Linked DNA regions of Arabidopsis thaliana. The protein of the gene in region 1 interacts with the protein of each later gene in a pairwise test. Each region holds a gene or a part of one and is shown on either strand. Other genes may lie near its edges.

Region 1 (9,450 bases):
ATGCAAAGAGTAATAGTTCTCGGTATGATGATGATGATGATGATAGTGATGGTACTTATCTTGATGCAACTGATACACTTTCAAGAACTGAGTCATTCTTCTTTAACTGTAGTGCTGTTAGTGGTGCGAGTGGTTTGGATGGTTCAGGGATACTAGTAGAGCCATTTGGAACTTTATCGACTGATCGACAAACTCAGGATCTAATGATGGGGAGATTCTTGCCTGCAGCTAAAGCTTTGACTTCAGAATCACCTCCACATCTTGCTAGGAAACCACCTAAACCAGAAGAACCGGTGAAGCAGTTGATGAAGAAGAAACAGAACAAAGTGGAGCAAAATCCGTATCGGTTTCGTCATTCGCCTGATCAAGAAGAGGAAGATGGAAATATAAGCAGCATGATGGCGTCTGGTGTTTGTGGATTACTCCCTCAACTCTGCTTGAGAAGCTCTTTGGGACTATTGAATCCGGTTCCATCTGTGAGAATGCAGCAACAAAGAGCTGTTTCTGTTCGTCGTATGCGGTCTAAGTACCAAGATTCTGCACCTTCTAATGAAACTCATAACAAGGTAATTGATTCCCTCTCCTTCTCGCCACCTCGTTCATCATTACACTGAGACCTTTTCTCTCATCAAATTTCTTTTATATTTTTCTCTCTATAGCAAAATGAAGATAAGAGGAAGTTGAAGCTAATTGAATCAGTTGCAAAAGGGTCTTCTCAAGGTGAGTCATTATCAGTATCTTCTATACCACAAGGAAAAGAGAAACTCGAGAACGTTGGCACCGCTTCACGCAGTAAAATCAGTAAAAACTTTGGTGAGCTCTTGGCTAGTGATGAGAATACATGGGAACCTTCATCCGAGACTCCTGTGGCAGAGAAAACTCTGTATGTAGACATTGTGCATCTAGTAGATAAGAAGGTACAAGAAGAGTCCAAGAAGCAGCCTATATTGAAAGAGTCTCCTTCACTAGACATTGTTCCTGTAAAAGATGAAGAAGCTGATATCTCGCAGCCTAAAAGCATTGAGCAAGAGAATGGTAACAGAGATGAGGATTTCACTAAATTCTCAAGTCAGAAAGTTGAAGAATGTCCTGATCATCAAGCTATTGTTGCACTGCCAGAATCCGATGTGGTAGAGATTACAAAGGAGAAGAAGATTGATCTTGAAGTTCAGTTGCAAGTAATCACAACAAATATTGAAAGTTCAAGGCTTCATCATCGTTCAAGTTATCTCATTGTTCCTCCACCACCATTACCAAAAGCTCCTTCAGATTCTTGGTTAAAGCGTACATTACCAACAATACCACCAAAAAACAACTCATTCGCATGGTTACAGTCTCTTGGCACTGATGATGATAATCACTTTACCAAGACTCAAGCTAATCCAAAGTGGGAAACTATGGTCAAAACGTCCAATACACAGCAAGGGTTTGTGTGCTTCTCCAAGGTAAAAAAAAAAAAAAGAAACGTCCAATACTTTCACAAATGTGTCTTAATTTTCAAAGTCAATGCTTGGCAAAATGTGTTAATACTTGTTGATCCTGTTTTGTTCTTTCAGGAAACACTAAACCCTATACCAGAGTCATAGCAAGACCAAAACAAAATTCTCACTGGTGGTAATGAAGAAACTGTAAAATTTTTCACACCAAATTACATGTAAATTTTCAACAATAAAGAAGGGATGAGCCAATAAAGTTTGGGTATTTTGTCTTTAACTATTTGTGTAAATCTGAATCAAAAAGATTCCATGATAAAGAGAAAGCAATGGAGATAAATGTCTTAAATATTGTCTGGCACTTAAGGAGAGGTTTCTTGTTGAAGTGATGTACAGCTCATGTTAACGGAGATTTCATGGCAATAATTCCATGTGACACTGCTTCTTTATTCTCTACTAATAGACTTTTTTTTTTCGTTCTTTTGTAATTATGGTTTCAAAATATAGAGCTCACTAGAAAGGAAACTTGAAAGCTGCAGAATTGAATTGAATTGAATACCTTGACTAAATTAGTCACTAGAGGAATTATTGAAACAATATTGGTGTGAAAATGTTCACATTTCATCTCTTATTCTCTTTATATATATAGTGGCATGGAAGATCACATGCAAATATATGAGTGAAGAGAAATTTAAAAAACAATATAGAGAGAGAGTGAGAGGTTTCTTTATCAGTTAGTTTGACATGAAAGAAGCTGCTGCTTTTGGGGGTGTTTTGTTCTTGATTTTCATGTTTCTTCTGTCGTTGTTACTTGTAACCATGGCCGTATTTGCTTGCTCCAAAAAGAAGGAAAAGAAGAAGGATTCAAGTTGCTGTTGCTGCTGTAAAGGTGGCGTTTTTGGCGGTTGCAGTGGTGATGGTGGTGGAGGAGGAGGGGGTTGCTAGATAAGTAGATATATCACTTGGGTACTGTTTCCGTACGTATTTGAATTTATGACCAATTTGCTTAGAACATCTAGGCATTACCTAAAGAACAACATGTGCCTAATCTTATTATCGTTATGCTAAAGTAAAATCAAATATCTATTTGATATTAGTATGATCGGATCCGATTCTTGCATCATCCTACTATCAGTTTCATTCTACTTTAATAGTTCCATCGTTTGTATTTTTTCTGCACAAACTAATCATCTTAATGAATAATTTTATCACCATATCATGTTAAAAGAAAATTTCGACGTAAATATATCATGTCATGATGTATACAAGAGAAAAATATATCTCAATCATAGTTTTTGTATGTATATATTTTAACATTGTTTTGATGTTATTTGTCCATAGTGTTGGTCGTTGGAATCCAAATAGCGAGTTATTATTAAACAAAATGTTCCAAGAAATTGATTATGATCGTCATTCGTCCATGTGCTAAGTCCACTCCCCTTATTCTAAGACTTTTATCCATCCTTTAAATTGGACCAAATATTAAAAGTCAAATATGTAGCCATCTGGCTCCAGAGAACACCAATTTTTTTTCTAAAATGACAAAAACTTAGAAGATTCAAGATTCAGAAAACACATACGTAACGTAAGCCAATATTTTTCCATTCAAAGAGTTTACCGATAGCGAATAAAAACTGTTAAAAAAACTAGAATGAATACTGTAAACAATTTATATTAGTAGATAGATTAAAGAGTTTTTAAAATTGTGGTAAAACTCCAAAACAACTATTAATCTGAAAGAGAGTAGTTGTTGTTAGTTTACCCAAATTATCTGATTGTGTGAATGTAGTAATCTCCACAATAAATTGCATTATGGTATTATTACGGAGTTATCAGACTTTTCACTTCACCAATCACTGTGCTTATTAAATAATGACTACTTAATAAACAGATTAGTGTTTCATTGGAGCGTAAGAATCACGCGCTAAACTTACGCGTGGGTTTCCTCTTTATCTTTAAAAATTTTCTCAAGTTTAGACAGAACACCAGGTAATAGAGAGAGAACAAAATAGTCTTTACTCTTTCAGTGAGAGAGAGAAGTTAGAGCTGTAAAAGCACATGACTTCGATACCATTGGGGCCTCCTCAGCCTCCGTCTTTAGCTCCTCAGCCGCCGCATCTTCACGGCGGAGATTCTTTGAAACGTCGTCCCGATATAGACAACGACAAGGTTAGTTTTTTCTTCTCTTATAACTTGAAACGTTTGTGTGTATCTCTCTCTCTCTCTCTCTCTCTCTCTCTCTCTCTCTCTCTCTCTCTCTCTCTCTGATTGATTCTTTCGTGAACAATGTATTTCAATTTTCGTTTTGTGGGTTTTCTAGATCTAGCTCGGATTTTGCTTGTTTCGATGTGTTAGTCAATCGATCTGTGTTCCTTTTTAGTCAGCGTTCTTGATTTGAGCTCATTGAAGATTGTGCATTTTGACTTCATAGTAGCTAGTTTTACTTTTCTTCAGCTGAAATTTTCAACCTTTTTTGTAGTGAAGATTGATCTCTTGAGCTGTTTTTGATTAGTAGCAGTAAACCTTCGAACCCTAAAGAAGAAATTAGGGTAAATAACAGAAATTTTCTAGTAATAACCCTTTGAACCCTAAAGAAGTAACCTCATAGTTTGGGTGTTAAATTTAACACTTTTGACTTCACAAAGTACTTGTGTATCTTCGAGTTTTTTTTCTTCTTTTTCCTGACAGTTTTTGGAGTATTCGTTTAGATTATATGATTCTTGGCCCATTCTGTATTGATTCTGAACTCTTTTCTTTTGTTTTATGTTCTTTTGCTTTGTTTCTCCACCTGACAGTGTCTGTTCCATGTTGTGTCTGATTGTATCTTTTGATTTTGTACAAGTTTCTTATGTCCACAAAATGGTTGACATCTTAATCTTTCTCTACTCTTGAAGTTACAGTTATCATTTTTTAGCTTTCCTTTACCTGTAACAACTAGTATAGTAGTATGCATTTGTTTTCTGAATTTTGTTAGCCTCTGGTCAACAGGAACTTGCGACATCATTTAGATTTACATTTAGTTATCTTACATGATTGAATTCTCTGTAAATTGGGCATTGACTGTTCTTAGATTTGAATGCTATTTTAAAGGAAAGTTTATATTCTGGAAGATTTCATACACTTGATAGAACTGATTGAAAAACGATTCGAATATTTTGAATTATTTGTCTATTCAATCAATATACATCGGAGGAAACACTAATTGTTACTACTTTCCTTCATTCTTTGTAGACAAGAATAGTTTTAACTCCTGTAATAATATGTTCACGTTTGATTTTAGGAAATGTCTGCTGCTGTTATAGAAGGAAATGATGCTGTTACCGGTCACATAATTTCTACTACAATTGGAGGCAAAAATGGTGAACCTAAACAGGTTGGATTCTGTTGTTTATTAAATCTTTGTAATGATTTAAATCATAGTTATTGCTCGAGCACACTACCATGTATAAGGTTACCTAAGGTTTGGATTAATCTATAGAAATTCAACAAATAAATAAATAGGTTTTTACATCTTTTGACTTTGTGGCTCCTTTTTTCCAACTCTAAGTTCTACTCTCTAATGTTTTCATCCCTCTGGCCTTTACAGACCATTAGTTACATGGCCGAACGTGTTGTTGGAACAGGATCATTCGGAATTGTATTCCAGGTATCATTGTGCTTGTCACTGTCTACAGGCAAATGGCTTTTTGTCTTTCCTTTCTGATCAGATTGTTAACTTACCATTCTAGGCAAAATGCTTGGAAACTGGAGAATCAGTAGCCATTAAGAAGGTTTTGCAAGATCGCCGTTATAAAAACCGAGAGTTGCAATTAATGCGACTAATGGACCATCCAAATGTGGTTTCCTTGAAGCATTGTTTCTTCTCTACAACGACTAGAGATGAGCTCTTCCTCAATCTCGTTATGGAGTATGTACCAGAGACATTGTACCGGGTTTTGAAGCACTATACTAGTTCAAACCAGCGGATGCCTATCTTCTATGTCAAACTTTACACATACCAAGTATGCATTGTTATCTACTCTTTCCCCAATAAATACTCTTTACTCTGTTGTGTTTATCCTAAAACTGTTTATAAAATATGTTGTGCAGATCTTCAGAGGCTTGGCTTATATCCATACTGCTCCTGGTGTCTGCCACAGAGATGTGAAACCACAAAATCTTTTGGTACGTTGATCTATTGTGGGTTTTGTCTTTGGTAACCTTGACTAGATTGTAATCTTATTCTCTGTATGTTCTGTAGGTTGATCCCCTCACCCATCAGTGTAAGCTCTGTGATTTTGGAAGTGCAAAAGTACTGGTAAGAGGTTTAGACTTTTATTTACCCCATTTGTTGTTTGTCTTTTCCACTGTGCTTGTGTCTTTGCATGCAGTAGTTAAAAACTCCAATTAAGTGAATATTATGCAAGTAATTTACATAAGTATGGATGCAGTTTCAGATATTTCTCTGTTAGCCTGATATTTGCAACATTTGGCTTTTTATATTAGGTGAAAGGTGAAGCAAACATATCATATATCTGCTCTCGGTATTACCGAGCTCCAGAACTCATCTTTGGTGCCACAGAGTATACATCATCCATTGATATATGGTCTGCTGGTTGTGTTCTGGCAGAGCTACTTCTTGGGCAGGTTAGTGTAAATTTCTAACCTGTTGAGTATCTTGAGAACTAAAGCATCTCTCCAAAATCTTCTGTAAACAATGTGGTATTATTTATCTTCACAGCCGTTATTCCCGGGAGAAAATTCTGTGGACCAGCTAGTGGAGATCATAAAGGTGAACTCTTCTTTTATTATATTTTGTTTTGGCGTCATTTCCTGTCTGTGCTCATGATGTGCTGTGTTGGTTTAGGTTCTTGGTACTCCAACTCGCGAAGAAATCCGGTGCATGAACCCAAACTACACAGACTTCAGATTCCCACAAATCAAAGCCCACCCTTGGCATAAGGTAATATATATATATGCATGTCACTTTCGAACTTCTTTCTAATCATACAATTGCTTACTTCTCTACCTAAACAACATTCATGGAAAAGAAGCTAACACGGTGCACAACTGCTCTATGACCTCCAGGTTTTCCACAAGCGGATGCCTCCGGAAGCCATTGACCTTGCATCTCGGCTTCTTCAATACTCACCAAGTCTACGTTGCACTGCGGTTGGTATTTCTAAACCAAGTACTCTTAATTGTTACAGTGGTTCTCTCTGGCTTCTTTGGACCATACACTGTTCAATGAAGGAGTGAAATGTTGTTTTTCAACTGACTTGTTTGTTTGCCGTCTGAAGCTCGAGGCATGTGCGCATCCGTTTTTCAATGAACTCCGTGAGCCAAATGCTCGTCTTCCAAATGGCCGACCTCTACCACCGTTGTTCAACTTCAAACAAGAGGTATGTTAAACCATTCCAAAATCACTTTTCCTTCAACCAAACATAACTGAATGTGCATACAGTTACTCAATCTGTTAGCTCTCTCTTTGACTATTGAAACAGTTGTCTGGGGCTTCACCGGAGCTTATCAACAGGCTAATACCAGAGCATGTGAGGCGACAGATGAATGGTGGCTTTCCATTTCAAGCTGGACCCTAGAAAAGCGATCTCGAGATGCTTTTCCAGAGCAAAATGCCGCCTTATGGAATGAAGGAGAGGGAGATTTACTTCTCTCTGATTAACTAAGTATCAGCTTCTGAGAAGAGATGATGTCTCCTCCTTAGACGTGGCCAATTCAGCTTTTTGAGAAATCAGGAGGCGATGATTGTGTCCTATTATATTCTTTTTGTTCACTGACTTGTAGAGAGATACTTTTCTCCTGTATCAGTATTTGTATATGTTTTTGTCCTTGAAATGAAACAAAATCGATTCCAAACTGCAAGTCAAATAACCGAAATGATGAAATGAAATCATGATAATCTAAAGTTGCCTACGGTAAAAGTAAAAACTAAAAACATTTGAAATCAATGAGCTTGAGGATAAAATTTTGCCAGCATTGGCATTGTAACGTTGAAAGGAAACAAGCACAAAAAGAGCAATTGAGAAGAAAGAAAACAATCCGAATTTTGTATATCCAAAAATCCATCGTTTAGGCTTTGCTTTTATTGCCCAGCTAACGAAAAAATGCGCTAATAAATTACTGTTTATGGGTAAACTTTCAGTTCCCACAAAACCAATTGCAGAAGTACAAATCTAGCCTCCTGTCTTATTGACTCTTCAAACAAAATTTGTATGTTTGGCTGAAACATGTAAGTAAATGATTTAAGATGACTTGGTGACTTCATGTATAGCATTCGCAAGGTATCCCACGTTTCCTGTTGTAACACCAGCCATACTGCAACCAAACATCAAGAGCCTCAATGATTAGGAAATGGCTTGCATTGAAATTAAGCATGTTGATGTTAGGAAATGGATTGCATTGAATGTGAGCTGAAAGATTTCTAATCAGGAGAAAGTGAAGTACCTGATACGGCCGTTACGGGTCATATAGATGTGATATTCGCTTGTTAAGCGGTCAACCTGTTCTGGTGTTAACCCACTGTAGCAGAACATTCCAATCTGTTATCACCATAAAGATATGACTGTGTGAGTCAAAGGAGAGAAATAACAAGAATTTCACAAAAGAAGCCTATTTTGTTGTTGTAGTTACCTGTTTGGTAACGTGCTCCCATGACAAAGGCGATCCTAACTTCTCAAGGCTTTCTCGCAAAGTAGTTCTCATGCCGATGATCCTATCAGCCATGACCTGTTACAGATTTTACATATGGCTTATCAGATTTTAATTCCATAGTTGATTACTAAACATAAAAGAGTGAACATGGGATATAAGGTAATTGAATGAAAGAATTAGCATTTTTTCATAAATGTTACCTTAACTTCTTTTAGCCACAGACTCTTTAACTCTGGGTCTTCAAGAATGGTTGAGACCAGCTGAGCACCATGCAAAGGTGGGTTGCTGTACATTGGTCTAGCTAGCTGCTGCAATTGACTTTTCACAGCCACGGCTTGCTTCGGATCTTCACAAAGCACACTGCAGTAGAAGACAAAGTTGTCATGTTCATATTCAGTTTTTACTTCATCACTAAATGAACCTGTATGATGGCTATTTCATACAATTTGTTGACGCCTACAATCCAAATTTTTAAAATGCTGATATCTGTACTTTCTAATTTCCATATTTTCCTTCGTGTAGGAAGAAAACGATGTTCTTTGTTGAGAAAAATGAATACCTGAGACATCCCACCCTCTGGCCGTAGAGTCCCATGTTTTTTGCATAGGACTGAGAAATTCCAATATGATGACCATCTTCAAGAAAGATCCTGATGGACTTGGCATCTCTCGCTGGATCTCCACTAGCAAAACCTTGGTAAGCCATATCGAAGAATGCGAAATGCTTTTTAGCCTGAAATGAGAACTCGATGTTAGTCTGCAGAGGGCTGATCAAGGAGAAATAAAGTCAATGATAGACAGATAACTATAAGAAACTGATGAGTTATCACCTTGAATAGCTGTGATATCTCTCTCCATTGTTCCTCTGTAGGGTCTACTCCAGTAGGATTATGAGCACAAGCATGAAGAAGGAAGAATGACCCTTCCGGAGCATTCTATGGAAAAAGGCTTAACAGAATTAGGATGTTAACAAGAAGAAGTAAAAAAGATGCTAGTTGAAGAAGATGTTCTTTGCTAACCTTCACATCATCCATCAATGCTGAGAAATCCAAGCCCTTGGTTTCTGGATGATAGTAATGATATGTCTTTTGAGGGACTTGTGCATCTTTCCAGATGTTGTGGTGGCTATTCATAAGAGAAAACATAAACCATGTTATTTTTGGGAAGCAAAAGAAGCTTGGCCACACTTACAAAGTAGACCGTTGAGGTTAACATGAGAAATGATCAAATCAACTGTAGGAAACTCACTTGGACCAGGTTGGAACAGGAATGTAGATCTGTGAACCAGGAGAAAAACGTTTCTGGAAGTCTGCAAAGAGCCGGCAGGCTCCAGTGCCAGACAGAGTCTGAACTGCAGCAATTCTTTT
Region 2 (8,575 bases), on another chromosome or scaffold:
CAAGCAGCAATAATTTGTCTGCTTCTGTATCTCTATCTATACCATTATTGCTGCGGAAATATCAGAGAGAGAGAGAGAGACTCTTTGAGGAGAGAAGACCGTAGAAAAGTAAACGAGTCGATTGACCCGGTGGGGATTTACGACGACGACGATTCGTCAAACCTTTCGTCGATTTTTTATATAACTGATTAGCGATTAAAAACGCGTAAACGATAACAAAAAACGAACAGTTTCTGAGGGATTTGTGATTATACGATTTAGCTTTTGATTACAAAAAGGTTGATGAAGCAAGTACGAATCAGAACAGAACAGCTGTTTCATAGTTTTACAAAGATTGGGTTTGGTGGAATGTTTTATTATTTTATTATTATCAAAATCACCCCATGAGATAATGATAGAGCTGTTTTTGGCATAAAGTTTATTTCTTTCAATTATATAAAAATGTGAATAGTCAATGAATATAAGCATAGAGATCTTGTTTGTTTGTTAATGTAGAAGCATTTATGGCCGTAAGAAAATTCGTTGTTGATCTCTTTTTGGGGTTTATAAACTAAAGAAAAGTCTTTGATTTTTATTTGGAGGACACGAAATCGAAAAGTCTTGTTTTGAAGGATATTCAATTGTGTTTGGCATTTGGTAAATATCATGCCTCCTTTAGTTTTTTCTTTTGGGGTTTTTTTTTCTGTCGAACATCTGAATGTTTTTTTTAAATAATTTTGATGTGCATACGTAAACAAAGATTGAATTAAGGCAGTATCGTTAGTGCAAGAAAAAGTCGGATCAAACCTGAAATATTAAAGTGCTTAGCTTATTAATATATGTTAGTGTAAGATCACTACTTAGCTTATTCAAATGCTATTGAAACGGGATTTCTAAATTCATGTCCAACATTAATTCACTACTGTTTGAGGTAAAAGAACATTGTGGTATTAATCCGGTTCGATCGTTGCACAATATTGATATTTCTTTAAAGAAAAATGCACACGTATGTGCTTAGTTCACTGTCCCCGTCAACGCTATATTACAATATTCCAATACCAAAAATCAATTTAAAATGTTTTAAATTAAAATTAATTCTGCTATAGTATTCACATCCAGTAAGACTAAGACACAGTAAAAAAAAAAGGATCAATAACCTAATTACATTATAGAAATCATAGATAACCAAAAATTGTAGATAACCTACATGTAATCGCAAATACGTATAAAAATGTTAAAATTTGTAACATATAATGTGGTTTATTATTGGTTGTGAATAACTTCTACATGGAATTTAAAAATTACTTTGATAAAGATGAAATATATTGTTTCAACTAATTTGGGTCCCAACTATTGTGGTCGGAGTAGGACGAATTGAGTCCTTCGTTAACTTGTAGTGTTATTGAAGTCATATAAACACAAAATTAGACATATTACACAACGTGTGTTAGTTGATATATATACTTAAGTACACCATATATAGAGAGAATAAGGCAAGTGTGGAATGTTGATAGTACTACACAAATATATAGAGATAAAGGCAAGTGTGGAATGTGGATAGTACTACTACAAAATATTTATTAGTGTCGGATAATAAAAGGCATGTGTAGACAAACACACAAATTGTGTTGTACGTTATAAGAAACTTGGAATCAAAGATGTGTTCTATTTAGCAGTGGTACGAATATTTTTATTGGTTGGGTAACAGATGGTATAAATGTCAAAGAATAGCATACTTATTCTAATTGTTGTCACACACACAAAAAAAGCATACTTATTCTAATTACTATACTTAGGCCATCTCCAACGTAACGGTAAAACTGTATTTTGATGTGATGCAATATACTTTTTCACTCCAACCCAACTGTAAATATTACACTATAATAGTGTGATTCCTTTATTTTGTACAGTACTCCACTATATTTGGCGTGCTACTGTAGCAACGGTAAAATTAAATATATATTTTTTTTTACTTTAAAATTATTACATATGAATATAGCTTATTTAGGTATAGCATATTAAATATGATTTGTATTGTCATCTAATAATTTAATTGAATTTTGTAAGTAAAAAAAAAAAATATCAAAACTATTTATGTATTTTTAATTTTGATAATATGATTATGAAATATTAATCAGTAGAAGATATAAAAATTATAACAAAAGATTTATTGAAATTACATAATAAAATTCAATTAACCATTGAAAATATAAACTTACAAAATTTAAAGCTATTTTGATATATAGATTGTAATTTGTATTAATCAATAAATTAAAAATATTAAATATTAAAAATAATATTTGGTTTAATAATATAATAATAGAAAATATTATTTTTAGTGTGATATATAGTGTTGTGGTTGGAGATTGAAAATATTTTAGTGTTGAATCTACACCAAATATAGTGTTATTTCAGCACCAAAATAGTGTTATGGTTGGAGATGCCTTTAAGACTAAAAAGTAATTAATGAAAAAGAGCAAAGGAGTCACGAGCAATGACAAGTTGATGGCAAGCAGATCGAGAGCATCACGTGACCCACCCGATTTAACGGTCATGATTGGATTTTTTGTGATCCCACGAAAGGTGACCTGTCACATTTTGTAGATGCCGCAATCTCTGCCACGTATTTTGGACTCGCAGTTATTTTAGTTAACTACGTAATTAGTTTAGCTAAATTTATATATTAAGTGTAGCATGATTTTATTCATAGTCTCTATTGGATGTGGATAGTCCGTAGTTGGAAAATGCTGTCATTGAATAAGCATAAAGTTGTAAAATGATAAAATTAGTTATTGTAGAAGCTAGATTTTATTATACACAAAAATAGTGTTTGACACAAAAGAAAAGTTATTATAAAAGCAGCTTGATAGTCTTGACCTTTGAATTCTCAAAATGTAAACACAAACTGTGTCGCATTTCGATTTTCCTGCTTTATTAAAAAAGCCTGAGCACGTGTTAACACATATGGGACATCCTTGTAAATTACAACATACTTTAAGGGTAATTTCGTCTTTTCACAATCAGACTTCTTTTTTCTTCACCCTGTTAAGTGCTTCTTCATTTATTACTCCACCAGAAAAAACTCAGAACCAGAAAAAGGAACAAAACAAAAATAAAGCGCGAAATTAGTTTTCACCGGCGAGATTTTTTATCCTCTCTACGAGATAACACTTAGAAGAAGAGGCAGTTAAAACAGAGAGACGACGTCGTGTTATTTTTCCAAATTCCGGTGATCTGAGAATGACGTCGGGGACTAGAACGCCGACTTGGAAAGAGAGAGAGAACAACAAACGGCGAGAGCGGCGAAGACGAGCGATTGCGGCTAAGATCTTCGCAGGACTAAGGATTCATGGAAACTTCAAGCTCCCTAAACACTGCGACAACAATGAAGTCCTCAAAGCTTTATGCAATGAAGCTGGTTGGACTGTAGAAGACGACGGAACTACTTACCGCAAGGTAAACCAAAAAAAAAATCTCGATCCTAAATTTCTTGAAAAATATTATCGATTTTGTAGATTTTTTTAAGGATTATTAAAACTGTGAATAGATCTAACCGTTCGATTTTGCTGAGAGAAAAAAAATCGACGGTTGGGATTTAGTTTGACTGGTTTAGTTAGTCATAGCAAACGTCAGATCGAAACCGTTCCGGTGAACTGAAACAAAAGCATGAATGTCTTAAGATTCGCTGATGCTTTCACACAAACTCTCTGTTCACTTTCAGATGAGAATTATACGTAGTGACCACATTACCCTTACTAATCACATGGTCTTACAATAATATTTAGGGTAATATCGTCATTTAGTGAGGTATTATAGAAAATGTGTAAGCTTTGAGAATTTTTCTTTTTGTGTTTTTCTTTGGTCACACAACCTTTTGCTTTATAATTGAAACTTTAGGACACGTCTGTTTCACGAAAACTGCCATTGGTAATGGGTTTAGATTCCTTTGTACAACGATCGAGGTAAACCTTTTTTTTTTCTTGCTCACATGTTTTTTTTCTTTACTTTTCAGACTGACACTTTCTCTGAAATTCGAATTTTGCTTTTTGTTGAATCATAACTTTTCTTCATTTGCTTACGTTCACACTTACATTAACATAAGATAACTAACCTGTCAAAAAGACTCAAATTTTAGCTTATGTTGCTGTGGATTTAGTATTTACCAGAAAAAGCTATATTGTGTCAAGAAAATAAAAAAGGGACTTGGGATTCTTGGCTCGTGTGATTCAGTAGTTTCCATGAGTGTTTATTTTTGTTTTGTTATATACTTAAATTAGTACTATGTTAACTGTCTTAATTCTTGTTTAGCTGGTCAATGGTGAGACTGAAGAAATGATTTCCCCTTTTGCCAACATCTAATGATGATGTTTGGATTTTGCTTGTGTGGGGATAAATAAAATGGAATTATTCATTGTTTGACCATTAGATGCCAAAGAAAATCATTGTTCTTTTACTTTTTTCTTTCCTTAGTTGCATCTGGATTTTCAATTTTTCAATCATTGTGTCATCTTGTTCGTTGCTCACCAGCTTTTGCATTTCGTAAAATGGAAAAAGAAAAAAAAAACACATTTTTATGTAAATAATCTATGAGGTATTCTCGATCCATTTAGCAAAGATTAGTTCTTTGAGCACTATATACCAAATAAAATCATTGTTTTTTCTCACTTTTTTGCTTAGGTGCATTTTGGTTTTCAACTATCAATCATAGTGCTATCTTGTTCATGCTCTACAGCTCTTACATTTCGTTAAAAAGAAAGAAAAAAAAACATTTTATGCTCTTTTTGTTGTTGTTGATAATCTATTAGAAAAGATTGTTCTTTTGAGATCTTCTGATCCATCCATTAGCAAATGTTGTTCTTTGACCATTATAAAACGAAACAGAATCATTGTTCTTTACTTTTTTTTTTCCTTTGTGCATTTGGATTTTCTATTATCAATCATAATGTCTTTTTGTTTGTTGCTCACCAGCTTTTGCATTATGTAATTAATCCACTAGCAAAAGATTGAGAGAGTCTCAGCTCCAAATGGATTGTGTTGGTTACATTTTGTGATATTTCTTACACAATTTGCAATAAACTATTGTGTAGGGATGCAAACCAATGGATCGAATGGACCTCATGAATGGTTCTACTTCAGCTAGTCCATGCTCATCGTATCAACATAGCCCTCGTGCTTCCTACAATCCAAGCCCTTCGTCTTCATCATTCCCGAGTCCTACAAACCCATTTGGTGATGCTAACTCACTAATCCCATGGCTCAAGAACCTCTCTTCAAACTCACCTTCCAAGCTTCCCTTCTTCCATGGAAATTCAATAAGCGCTCCCGTGACTCCGCCATTGGCTCGAAGCCCTACTCGTGATCAAGTAACCATCCCTGACTCTGGATGGCTCTCAGGAATGCAAACTCCGCAGAGCGGACCGTCTTCTCCTACTTTCAGTTTAGTTTCAAGAAACCCGTTTTTCGACAAAGAGGCTTTTAAAATGGGAGATTGTAATTCACCAATGTGGACTCCTGGACAAAGTGGAAACTGCTCTCCAGCTATTCCTGCTGGTGTTGATCAGAACTCTGATGTGCCAATGGCTGATGGAATGACGGCTGAGTTTGCGTTTGGTTGTAACGCAATGGCTGCGAATGGAATGGTGAAGCCTTGGGAAGGAGAAAGGATACATGGAGAATGTGTTTCAGATGATTTAGAACTTACACTTGGAAACTCAAGAACCAGATGATCATTTCAGAGAAGAATCAAAGTCGTTTGCTATCATTAAGTCTTCTTTTTTGTCTGTCTTTTTTTTCCAGTGTGATGTTTAAAGGTGACTCAGAGGAAAAAAAGGAGAATAGAAAGAGAAACAAAAAAAGAACATTTTGAGCTCTGTTTTCTTTTTTTTTTTTCTTTTTTTTTTTGTTGGCTTTTGACTAAAGTTGTAGTTAGAATCTATTTTATATCTTGAAGCTTCTTTAAAAAAAAAGTTATTTGTGGAAATTCGATTTGAGATTAGTGATGTTAGTATAATGAATTTTATATAAAATATTGAAGCCAGATTGGACTTTAGTAACCATTGTGAACGTGAGAAAATATCAGTATCTATCGCTGAAAATTTTATATTTTTCTATACATTTAAAAGATAACAGAAAAGTGGATTACGTTGAAAGACCAAAGATATGTCCAAGAAGTCATGCGTAACCCAATAGAAAGTCAACTAACAATGAGGACCACATGTGATTGGTCTTGTTAATTAGCGTACGTAAAACGCGACACTATGACAACTCGTACGTAATTTCGCGAATAATATGAATAGTAACTTCAACTGGACTATTTTACAAGTCAACAAATTACTTAGTGGATCCAATTTAAATGTCCAATTGTTCTTATTTGGCTAAAAATGAGGCCCATATATACATAATTTTTTTATATGATTTATTTTTTAATGAATTTATTTAAGAGTATGTAAACAGAACCCTCGCTCTCTCTCGCTAATTTGGATAGATACCTCCGAGCAAGGGTTAAGTGTAAGCCTCGTTTGTATTTGTAACGTAAGTTGTCATCATCGTAAAGAGTTAATCAGGTTAATTATTTTCTTTAGTAAGGAATGTGTTTTACCCGATTCTTCTATCATTATGTTATCTTTGTTGTTGAACCTCTCGATTCTCGACCTTGGATTTTGAAAATTGGTATAATTATTATTTGACCCTTTTTGTTTGTTATGCTTTTCTTTGTGTGTGTGTGTGTGTGTTTATTTGGTTATTGTAATCTTTGGGAATTCTTGTTTTGAGTGGTTTTGGAAGATGTGTCGTGTTAGATGGGGATTTCGTTAGGGTTTCTGTGAGCTAAAAAAGGGTGTATGTTTCTTTCCCTAATTGATTTTCGTTTGTAAATTTATTTTGCAGAATGATAACTACATTTTCATGGATACCAAAAGGGGTTGCAAAGGCCATGCGTGCTGATGAACTTCCTTCTAAGGAGGAAATCGAAATGCACAAAGACAGTTGTAAATATTTCAGTAATGATACAGAAGAAGAAGAGACCGAGGATGAAGAAGAGAATGGTGAAGTTGCTCATGCGAAAGCCGTAGCAGAAGAGTTTGGAAAATCATCCAAAAGCAAGAATGTTTCTTCTTCAATGGAGCTTGATGATGAGGTAGCTGAGGGTTTGAAAGAACTCGACATGGATAATTACGATGAAGAGGATGATGGTAAGTTAGGTTTTAATTCTTTGTTCTCCTATAGATGTGTAGAGAATCTCAAAACTCAATTTATGCTTTCATTGTGTACAACTAAATTAGACTTTCCATTGTTGTGTTTGGATTCAGGAATTGAAATTTTTAGCTCCGGGCGTGGGGATCTTTACTATAAGAGTAACGAGATGGATCCATATCTCAAGAGAAATGATGTAAGTCCTTATCACTAAACTTTTTTTTTATATACAGAGTTACCGGATTTTCTATATAGACACAATAACATCTATGTTTTTCTAGGATCATGATGATGACTCGGATGATGATCCACCAATCTTACCAACCGATTTAGTGATTGTCTGCGCTATGACTGACGACAAAGAAGCTAACCGTCTTGACGTTTGTCAATTATTTCAACATTTTATTTATTTATTTTACTGCACATATATAGATCCGACATTGAAACTTATATGAATGCATGATTAGGTTTATGTATCCGAGGACACATCCCATGGTTCTCCAAATATGTATAATCATCATTACAGAATTATACCAGCAATTCCATTGTGTACTGCTTGGCTTGATTGTCCACTTAAAGGAGGAGAAAGAGGTTAGTGAAAATGTGTCACTAAAAGTCTTATGAATTAAACCAACTAGGCTCTTTCATTCTTGCTATAAAAATGTTACTGAATATCTTTGAGTTTCTTATTGGTAGGGAATTTCCTAGCTGTTGGTTCGGATGGGACGCCAACAATAGAGATATGGGATCTTGATGCTGTATGTAAAACTAAACTGTCTTTTTGCATTTTGTTTCTTTCATAATCATGAAATACTATATTTTAATTTAAAATTGATGATATAATGCTTCAGTGGTTCGACATGCTACCTTGTGTACAACTAGGAGGACAAAACAAGGAAGGGGTGAGTATTTCATTTGGTTTAACTGCAACAGAAAAATGTACTAAATGTAATCATTCTTTTGATTTCTCGTCTTGTCTTAGAACTATAAACAAGGTAGCCACACTAGATCAGTTCTTGGTCTTGCTTGGAATAAGGAGTTTCGGTATGTCCATGACTGAATCTATTTCTTCCGCGACTTGCTCTTCTCTATAGACGTACGTGTCTGAGTTTATGTTTCTTTTTTTTCCGGACAAAAAAGGAATATACTTGCTAGTGCTAGTGCCGACAAAAAAGTTAAGGTATGGGATGTGGCTACTGGAACGTGTAAGATTACTATGGAGCATCACACAAAGGAGGTAAGAACAAGATTCGTAGAACTAGAAATTTCTTAGATTATAGGATTCTCATGGATTTTTGTTTGTATGATCCACAGGTTCAAGCGGTTGCTTGGAACCATTATGCTCCAGAAGTGCTTCTCAGTGGGTCCTTTGATCAAACTGTTGTATTGGTAAATGTTTTGTTCC

Evidence for each region.
Region 2: the proteins of SKdZeta (region 1) and BEH3 interact in binary tests that used the Arabidopsis thaliana proteins (3 or more experiments, as listed by UniProt).

What each region holds. Positions count from the first base shown.
Region 1 is NC_003071.7:13,179,912-13,189,361, reverse strand, and holds SKdZeta (SHAGGY-related protein kinase dZeta), read left to right. Parts: upstream 1-3,388; 5' UTR 3,389-3,491; coding exon 3,492-3,602; intron 3,603-4,713; coding exon 4,714-4,806; intron 4,807-5,019; coding exon 5,020-5,079; intron 5,080-5,161; coding exon 5,162-5,434; intron 5,435-5,522; coding exon 5,523-5,597; intron 5,598-5,673; coding exon 5,674-5,730; intron 5,731-5,918; coding exon 5,919-6,059; intron 6,060-6,153; coding exon 6,154-6,204; intron 6,205-6,279; coding exon 6,280-6,375; intron 6,376-6,500; coding exon 6,501-6,584; intron 6,585-6,712; coding exon 6,713-6,814; intron 6,815-6,916; coding exon 6,917-7,012; 3' UTR 7,013-7,337; downstream 7,338-9,450. Other genes in the region: AT2G30990 (arginine N-methyltransferase, putative (DUF688)), read left to right, coding at 1-566, 660-1,445, 1,557-1,586; AT2G30985 (uncharacterized protein), read right to left, coding at 2,298-2,456; ASP1 (aspartate aminotransferase 1), read right to left, coding at 7,676-7,748, 7,878-7,972, 8,064-8,159, 8,285-8,444, 8,644-8,816, 8,914-9,018, 9,103-9,208, 9,332-9,450. UniProt on the Arabidopsis thaliana protein: May mediate extracellular signals to regulate transcription in differentiating cells.
Region 2 is NC_003075.7:10,349,555-10,358,129, forward strand, and holds BEH3 (BES1/BZR1 homolog 3), read left to right. Parts: upstream 1-2,831; 5' UTR 2,832-3,219; coding exon 3,220-3,435; exon of another isoform or gene 3,436-3,941; intron 3,942-5,066; coding exon 5,067-5,705; 3' UTR 5,706-6,001; downstream 6,002-8,575. Other genes in the region: AT4G18900 (Transducin/WD40 repeat-like superfamily protein), read left to right, coding at 6,911-7,169, 7,287-7,366, 7,452-7,550, 7,638-7,761, 7,867-7,928, 8,022-8,072, 8,153-8,214, 8,311-8,407 and 1 more.